2 linked regions of the Daphnia pulex genome follow. The protein of the gene in region 2 purifies or fractionates together with the protein of the main gene of each other region. This does not show direct contact. Links are inferred from orthologs where the notes say so. Each region holds a gene or a part of one and is shown on either strand. Other genes may lie near its edges.

Region 1 (3,516 bases), on a different chromosome or scaffold from region 2:
GGAGATGAAAAATCTAAAATTGAAAGACCAGGAGGCAATCAGTCACCAGTATGGGCCTTGTGCTGGAACATCAACAGGTACATATTATTTATATAATGCTAATTTAATTCCCTCTCGTCATTTAAAAACAATCTCTTTTGGTAGGACTGACCAAGCAGAAATGCTTTGTGTCACGGATTGGGGTAACAGAACGTTATCCTTCCACCTCCCCAACGGAAAACAAGTATGAGTATATCAGATATCATTGTTTCAACAAGTGCTTTCCTCTAAAAATTTAATGTTATTGTATGAATTTACTAGATCCGTTCGGAGAAACCTTTGGGTTTCAACGCTTGCCGAATAGTTCCTTATCGTCACGCTGGTGGTGACTATCTGCTTGTCTGTGGATCCAACCGACAGTGTCAGCTCTTTAGTAGCGAAGGATATGCTCTTGGTCCCATAGCTGAGTGTAGCAAGTGGGTCTGGGCGACGGCAACCAAACAAAACAGCACAGTTGTGGTAAGCCATTCAAAATTTTGACATATTAAAATTTTTAAACGTTAAAATTCTTATCCGTTGCTTGTAGGCCGTTGGCAGTGAAGACGGAACAGTCGGTTGTCACCAGCTGATATTTAGCACCGTTCACGGTCTCTATAAAGAACGCTACGCATTCAGGTATTGCTAAATAAGGATCGTGTGAATGGGCTTAATTTACAATGCCGTTTTACTTTGTTATTTCGAAAAATAGAGAACATCTGACAGACGTGGTAGTCCACCACTTACTGACGGAGGAAAAAGTGCGCATCTGTTGCCGTGACCTTATCAAGAAAATCGCCATCTACAAAAATCGCTTAGCGGTATGTCGTGCAATGGCAGGAATATGTGACCGGATGATGATGTCTTGTTATTGTTGGATTCTTCTAGGTCCAGCTGCAAGAAAAACTCATGATTTACGAGCAACAGGAAGGCGAACAGCTGCACTATGTCATCAAGGAAAAAATCAGCCAGAATTTCGAATGCAGCCTTATGGTCATTTGTACCAACCACATCATTCTGTGTCACGTAAATCTTTTATATGATTTTCTTTGCAAAATTTTTATCTAACGTATCACATCTGTCTGGTATTTTGTTTTGTTTCGTTCAGGAAAAGAAACTGCAGTCGGTGAACTTTCAGGGCGTCAAGGAACGCGAGTGGACGTTAGATTCACCCGTGCGCTACATAAAAATCGTCGGCGGACCGGCCAACAAAGAGGGTCTCCTGCTAGGCTTGAAGAATGGCCAGGTGTCCAAAATATTTTTAGATAACCCTTTCCCGGTGGAGTTGCTCAAGATCAGTGTCCCTATCCGCTGCCTGGACTTGAGCTCTTCACGCCAAAAGGTGGCCATTGTAGATGACAACAATACCTGCTCCGTCTATCAATTGAGCAACAGTGAATTGATTTCTCAGGTAGTTCCAAAACTTTTTCCCAGATTACAACAGAATAATAACCTAAATTGTGAATGTAGGAGCCACATGCTAATAGCGTCGCTTGGAACATTCATTGCGAAGATATGCTTTGCTTTTCGGGTCAGAACTGGTTGAACATCAAAGCATCGAATTTTCCCTGTCACCAGCAAAAGTTTCAAGGCTACGTCGTGGGATTCTACGGCGCCAAAATATTTTGCTTGCAGGGATACAGCATGACCACCCTTCAGGTGCCTCTATCAGCACCAATGTACCAGTATCTTGACCGTAAGCTCTACCGCGAAGCTTACGAAGTGGCTTGTATGGGCGTGACGGAGGCCGACTGGTCACAGCTGGCACACGAGTCGGTCAATGCGCTGGAACTGGACATTGCCACACAAGCGTTCCAACGTATCCAGGACTACAAATACCTGGAGCTGATGGAATCTATCGCCAATCAGAAGCGGCTGGGAGGACCACAGGCCAATATCAACCACAATGTCTTTATCGGCGACATCCTTGCGTGGCAGGGAAAGTTCAACGAGGCGGCTCGCTTGTACCGCAAGTGCGGCCGTAGCGACAAGGCGGTGGCTCTCTTCACCGATTTGCGCCTTTTCGATCAAGCCCAGGAGTATCTCAGCGGAGACAGTACGACCGAACGGATGAACATCCTGAAAAAACGGGCGGATTGGGCGCAAGATATTCACGACCCGCGAGCCGCTGCAGAAATGTACCTGAATGCTGGTGAAATTCTCAAAGCTGTTGAGATTATCGCTGCCAACGGATGGACATCCATGTGAGTCGATTAGTAAAAATCAGTTTTGAAATTATCCAGGACTAAAAAATGTTCTAAATGTTGTACAGGCTTGTAGACGCGTCTCGAAGACTGGACGCAACGGACCAAGCGTCAACGTTACGCATCATTGCAGACCATCTTCGTCGATTGGGATCAGTCCAGCTGGCTTGTGACATCCTACGGCGTCTTGGTGATACGACTGCTCTGGCTGCCGCTTTGGTTGAGTGTGGCGCTTGGACTGAAGCTCTGGCACTCGCCAAGCAGCATCCTGATATCAGTCGAAATGTTTACCTACCTTATGCTCGTTGGCTGGCCGAACAGGAGCAATTTATCGAAGCTCAACAAGGTGAAACATTTTGAGTTTCAAAGAAAAATGAAGAGGTTTGTCTTACAATTTTTGCTTTTTCAGCTTATTACGAAGCGGGGTGTTTGGAGGAAGCGGAGCGAGTTCTCAACACACTAGCGATGAACGCCGTGGCGTTAAACAAATACGAAGACGCCTCACATTTCTTCTGGCTCTTCGCCAAACATCGGCTCCAGTTGGCCGCTAAAGCGTTAGTTATTTGTCTTATTTCCATTTCTACAAAAACTGTCTGAATGAAAAAAACAATAATGATAATCAACCTTAATGAACAGGGAAGTGTCAAACGAAGCACTGAAGCACGTTACTCAGTTTCACGCTTTAGAACGCAAGAGTTCGGCATATTATGCTTATCAAGCAATCCATCGCTTCACGGTAATTATCTTTGCTTCTAAATTAGTACGGAACAAAAAGTGAAGTTTTCAAGTCTTTTTTTAATTATTTTTTTTTAGAATGAGCCTTTCACTTCCAGCTTGCCGGAAGCGTTATTTAACATGGCGCGTTATCTTCTTCACGAAACACTCCACGTAATTGATTCATAGAAAATCTGAACCGTAGAATGAATGATTACGTTTTTTGTGATTATAGGGTCCATTAACTGGCATCAGTCAATTTGCAGTGGTTTATTCGTTGATGAAACACGCCAAGACGTTAGGCGCATACAAGACGGCGAAGCATGCTGTGACGTTGCTGCAGAATCTGAAGATACCTGTTCAGTTTCAGGAGAGTGTCGACTTGGCGGTGTTAAGTATCCGCGCCCAACCGTACCAAGACGCAGAGGACCTTCTTCCTCTTTGTTACCGATGCTCCATGAGCAATCCGCTTTATAATCCGCGTGGAAACTGCTGCATTCATTGTGGCGAAAATTTCATCTTTTCTTTCATTTCTTTCGGTAAAATTCTACTTTAGCGTTTTTCTTGGAAACCCAAACTTGAC
Region 2 (3,953 bases):
AGAAAATCCTCACATTCAACTTCGACGTGGCATCCCAGTAGAAACATGTAAAACAAAGAATTCATGGAAAGTACGGCTAGGCTTGCTTATGTGGGATAATGACGAAATAATATTAATAGAACCACGAGGATGAAAATGTTTTTTTTTTTTGTAGTTTGTTAAATGCCTAAAACACTCCAAAATTAATTCCAACTAAATATTTTCCTTTAAAAAACTGTAAGTAAGAAAAAATGGAGGAAGACTCTGAAACTTCTCTTTGGCAAATAGCCTAAGACTTACAACATAGCTGTTGCAAATAACACAGTTGATAACCTTCTTCTAGATTTAAAGATGGAAATCTGGAAAGTCGATTTCAATGACAAGTTTTAATATCTTTCATCTGCACAGGTAACTACATACCTAACAAAGTAACAATGAATGTTTTTCTAAACTTTTAGGGACAAATAATAATTCCTTAATTTCATGAAAATCTATTTGAGCCAGACGATATTAGGAATGCAATCAAAACCACTAGATTCCTCGTTACAAGTCTACAACAACCATAACAAAACAATAAGGTTGAACAAGATAACTCGAATACTACTGATCATGACTCCATAACACAAACAACAAATAATTCTTTTGAATAGCATTTAGTCTATGTTTTACTGTGAAGGATTTTAAGTCTTTCTGTAGCTGACACTTTGTCTCTAGACTTTCGATTCTTTAGACTATTTTATATCGAATACGTCGAAAACCGATTGGCACACGATAAAACATTGAATGTTTGACGAATTCTTACTTGGAGATTCCGTTGTCCTTGTAAAGAAGTTGGCAGGAGGAGATTCGCAGTAGATAAAACCACTATTTTTCAAATATGTCTGAACGATGAGAACGTAGTTGATGTTGTTGGTTGATGGAATGATGGGTCAACACAACAACTACTTGTCTGCTTCCGTATCGATAGACTGCTCGATTATTTTTTAGTTGTCTGCTTCGGTCTGCTTACTTTCAACAAAATTTCTAAATTTGAAACTTTTTAATATTCTGTTACAATCATAGTTTATTTTTATGCAGTTTTTTCAATAAATTAAAAATTAATCTCATCTAGAAAAATCGTTATTTTCCATTCACAACAACCAAAATGGCAAAATGCTTTTTAGAAAATTTTTCTCTTAGGGTGCTGCCAGGGACCTCTAACGGCGGCCATGTAAACAAGTGAGAAAACGTTTGTTTACAAAGTGATTGCTTGGTAACGAGAGTACTTTCAAAAAAACATATACAGATGGATAATTAAACGACAAATAATCATGCACCTTAACACCGAAAAGGTATTCAGGCCCGTAAAGTTTATGTCTTGTTCGTGAAATTAATTTCTTCCCTTATCTATCAGTTGATATTGAGTTTGAAGGCCCCTGTCGGCGTTGGAACCGTAAAATTAGAATGGCAAACACACGATGGTACTCTCTGGGCAGCTACTGGCTCAAACCGCACCGTACATATATATGACCACTTTGGAAACCAAAAATCTGTGATCACAATGCCTGGGTATAGCTACTGGAACCACATGGTTTGATTTTATTGCTCACAAATACTTTTATTGTTGACAGGTCCTGCACAGGATTTGGCTGGGATTGTGAGGGTGACTTCTTTGCAGCTATTAATGATAGCAGCTCCTTTCTTTACATGTGGAACTCAACTAGCCTTAAAACTGAGAAGATTGAAACTGGTTTGAGAGATCCACTCAGTTTCATGGCTTGGGGCAAAAGTGGTCTTTTCCTAGCAATTGGTACATCAAAGGGAAATGTTCTTTTATACAATCAAAGGGCTGGACGGAAAATTCCAGTTCTAGGAAAACATAGCAAGCGAATTGTAACAGGAGCATGGAGTTCAGACAATCTCCTGGCTCTGGGATCTGAAGATAAAACTCTATCAGTTAGTACCTTGGAAGGTGACACTGTCCACACAGCTAGCCTAAGAAATGAGCCCTCTCAAATCCAGTTTTCTGAAATGAAAGAAGATGAACGTTCAACAGCAGAGAGCACGGTATTGAATGCGATCTAATTTCTGAACAAGAAGAAACCCGCTTCATATTATTATTTTTTTTTTTTTTGCCATTGTATAGATCAGTGCTGTGGTGGGTCGTCGCACGTTAATTCTAATCAACATTAATAACGCAGAAAACCCGTTAGAATTAGCTTTTCAGCAAAATTATGGTAACATCACAACATATCGATGGTTTGGTGACGGATATATTCTGATCGGTTTTTCCGGAGGATACTGCATCGCAATTTCCACCCATTTGAAGGAGATAGGACAAGAACTCTTTCAGATACGGAACCATCGAGACATGGTCTCATCTATATCTATCTGTCCGTCACTAAATCGGGCTGCTTGTTCTGGTGATAACAAGTAATAATAACATATACGTAGCATTAATTCAAAGACCTCAAATAATTTGTTTGCTGATTTTTCTTGTTGAAACAGTGCCAGAATTTACGATTTACTTGATTTAAAAGAAACTGTGTCAGTCATTTCTGTTGAAGAAGAGAATCGAATTGATTGCTGTGCGTGGAGTAATGACGGTCGTCTTCTGGCCATCACAGGTACTATATTAGCTTCTTCAATCTTTCTGCTGCTATGTAATACTGTGATAGTGCATGTTTATATTACATGGCAACATGTAACAGTATTCAATTTAACCTACCTACCCTACCTAACAACCCTTTGGTTAATTAAATTTCCATAGGTAGTTCCGGTAACGTCTACATCTACCTTACTCGTCTGAATATGCTAGCATCGGTTTGGCAGCCTTTCGGCACTATTGCTGTACTCACCAGTCTTAAAGAGGTAGGATCTAAAATATGAATAGTCTGTTATAACTCACTGTTACACTACATTTTGCGTGTGACTGCCGTATTTCTCAATTCAGGTGACTGTGTACGACGTTGCACTTAATACCATCTGCAATGTGCAGTGTGAGTTGGAGCCTGTATTTTTGGCCTGTGGTCCGAAAGCCATTGTACTTGGGTAAACTTATATTATCTAATAAATCATAGTTATAATACTAATTAGAAAACTATTGATCATGATATAGTTTGAACAATCACGTCTGGCTTTACTCTGCGGTCAATGGTCATTTACAACGGAAGTTGCAGTATGCGGGCTCGGTCGAATCGATTTGTTTAAATGAAACACACGTTGCGGCCTTGGTAGATGGCAAAGTTCATTTGCAGCTTGTGAGTTTTCCCCATTAAATTCCATTTCAAATTATTTTATAACTAGTTTTTAATCCATTATTAGATAGAAGAAGCTTCTTTTTCGAGTGACGGAGGAAATGGTCTGATGGATAGCGGTGTATTTCCCTTGCGTGAATCCTCTACAGCCAAGATCGGGAGTCATGCGTTGGCTAAGGATTGTCTCGTCTACGTTACAAGCGTAAGATAATCTAAAAGTGGTCACTTTATTTATTATCTCACCACAATTGCAACGGAAATATAAGGTGGGCGATTTGGTGTACTTTTCGCTGAGTGAGCGGAAACCTGTCAGTGAATATCGCCATGCAGTTGGTTGGAAAAAGATCTATCATGATACATCAGGAACACTTCTAGCCGCTGTGGATATAAAAAATCACGGCTACCTTTACTCTCCGGTATCGGGAAAATGACAAAAACCGCCTCATCTACTTGTCTACTTACACTTGTTTTTATCACTTAGGTCAAGGAAATTTTGTTAAGGATTCCCGATTTCCCAGTTCATCATCGTGGCTTACTTTGGGAGTCGGCAAGTCGGATTAGTCACGTGTTTGTGGCTTGGAGTGACGAGAAGCTTGACGTCTTTGTCTATCACGCCGAGAGACTTACTGGTTTGTTTTTAAAAAAAGATATAATTTTTAAAAATTGATGCGTTGCTATTCTTACACCCATGCACTTTGTTCACTCTAAAGGGAGTTGCATCATACGACTTTGTTCTTC

Evidence for each region. The genes of interacting proteins can lie anywhere in the genome.
Region 1: the proteins of WD repeat-containing protein 19-like (region 2) and intraflagellar transport protein 122 homolog purify together in Homo sapiens (affinity purification with mass spectrometry; 4 studies listed by BioGRID and IntAct, counting the BioPlex papers as one, with this or other methods). This does not show direct contact. The link is inferred for Daphnia pulex from reciprocal best matches to the Homo sapiens genes WDR19 and IFT122.

What each region holds. Positions count from the first base shown.
Region 1 is NC_060023.1:2,443,497-2,447,012, reverse strand, and holds part of intraflagellar transport protein 122 homolog, read left to right. Parts: coding exon 1-77; intron 78-144; coding exon 145-223; intron 224-300; coding exon 301-498; intron 499-565; coding exon 566-654; intron 655-727; coding exon 728-836; intron 837-903; coding exon 904-1,041; intron 1,042-1,123; coding exon 1,124-1,426; intron 1,427-1,485; coding exon 1,486-2,219; intron 2,220-2,287; coding exon 2,288-2,565; intron 2,566-2,628; coding exon 2,629-2,773; intron 2,774-2,855; coding exon 2,856-2,955; intron 2,956-3,032; coding exon 3,033-3,107; intron 3,108-3,168; coding exon 3,169-3,472; intron 3,473-3,516. UniProt on the Homo sapiens protein: As a component of the IFT complex A (IFT-A), a complex required for retrograde ciliary transport and entry into cilia of G protein-coupled receptors (GPCRs), it is required in ciliogenesis and ciliary protein trafficking.
Region 2 is NC_060017.1:218,452-222,404, reverse strand, and holds the start of WD repeat-containing protein 19-like, read left to right. Parts: upstream 1-1,150; 5' UTR 1,151-1,289; coding exon 1,290-1,310; intron 1,311-1,372; coding exon 1,373-1,527; intron 1,528-1,589; coding exon 1,590-2,025; intron 2,026-2,104; coding exon 2,105-2,391; intron 2,392-2,466; coding exon 2,467-2,585; intron 2,586-2,728; coding exon 2,729-2,829; intron 2,830-2,911; coding exon 2,912-3,009; intron 3,010-3,076; coding exon 3,077-3,218; intron 3,219-3,282; coding exon 3,283-3,417; intron 3,418-3,481; coding exon 3,482-3,631; intron 3,632-3,696; coding exon 3,697-3,844; intron 3,845-3,925; coding exon 3,926-3,953. UniProt on the Homo sapiens protein: As component of the IFT complex A (IFT-A), a complex required for retrograde ciliary transport and entry into cilia of G protein-coupled receptors (GPCRs), it is involved in cilia function and/or assembly.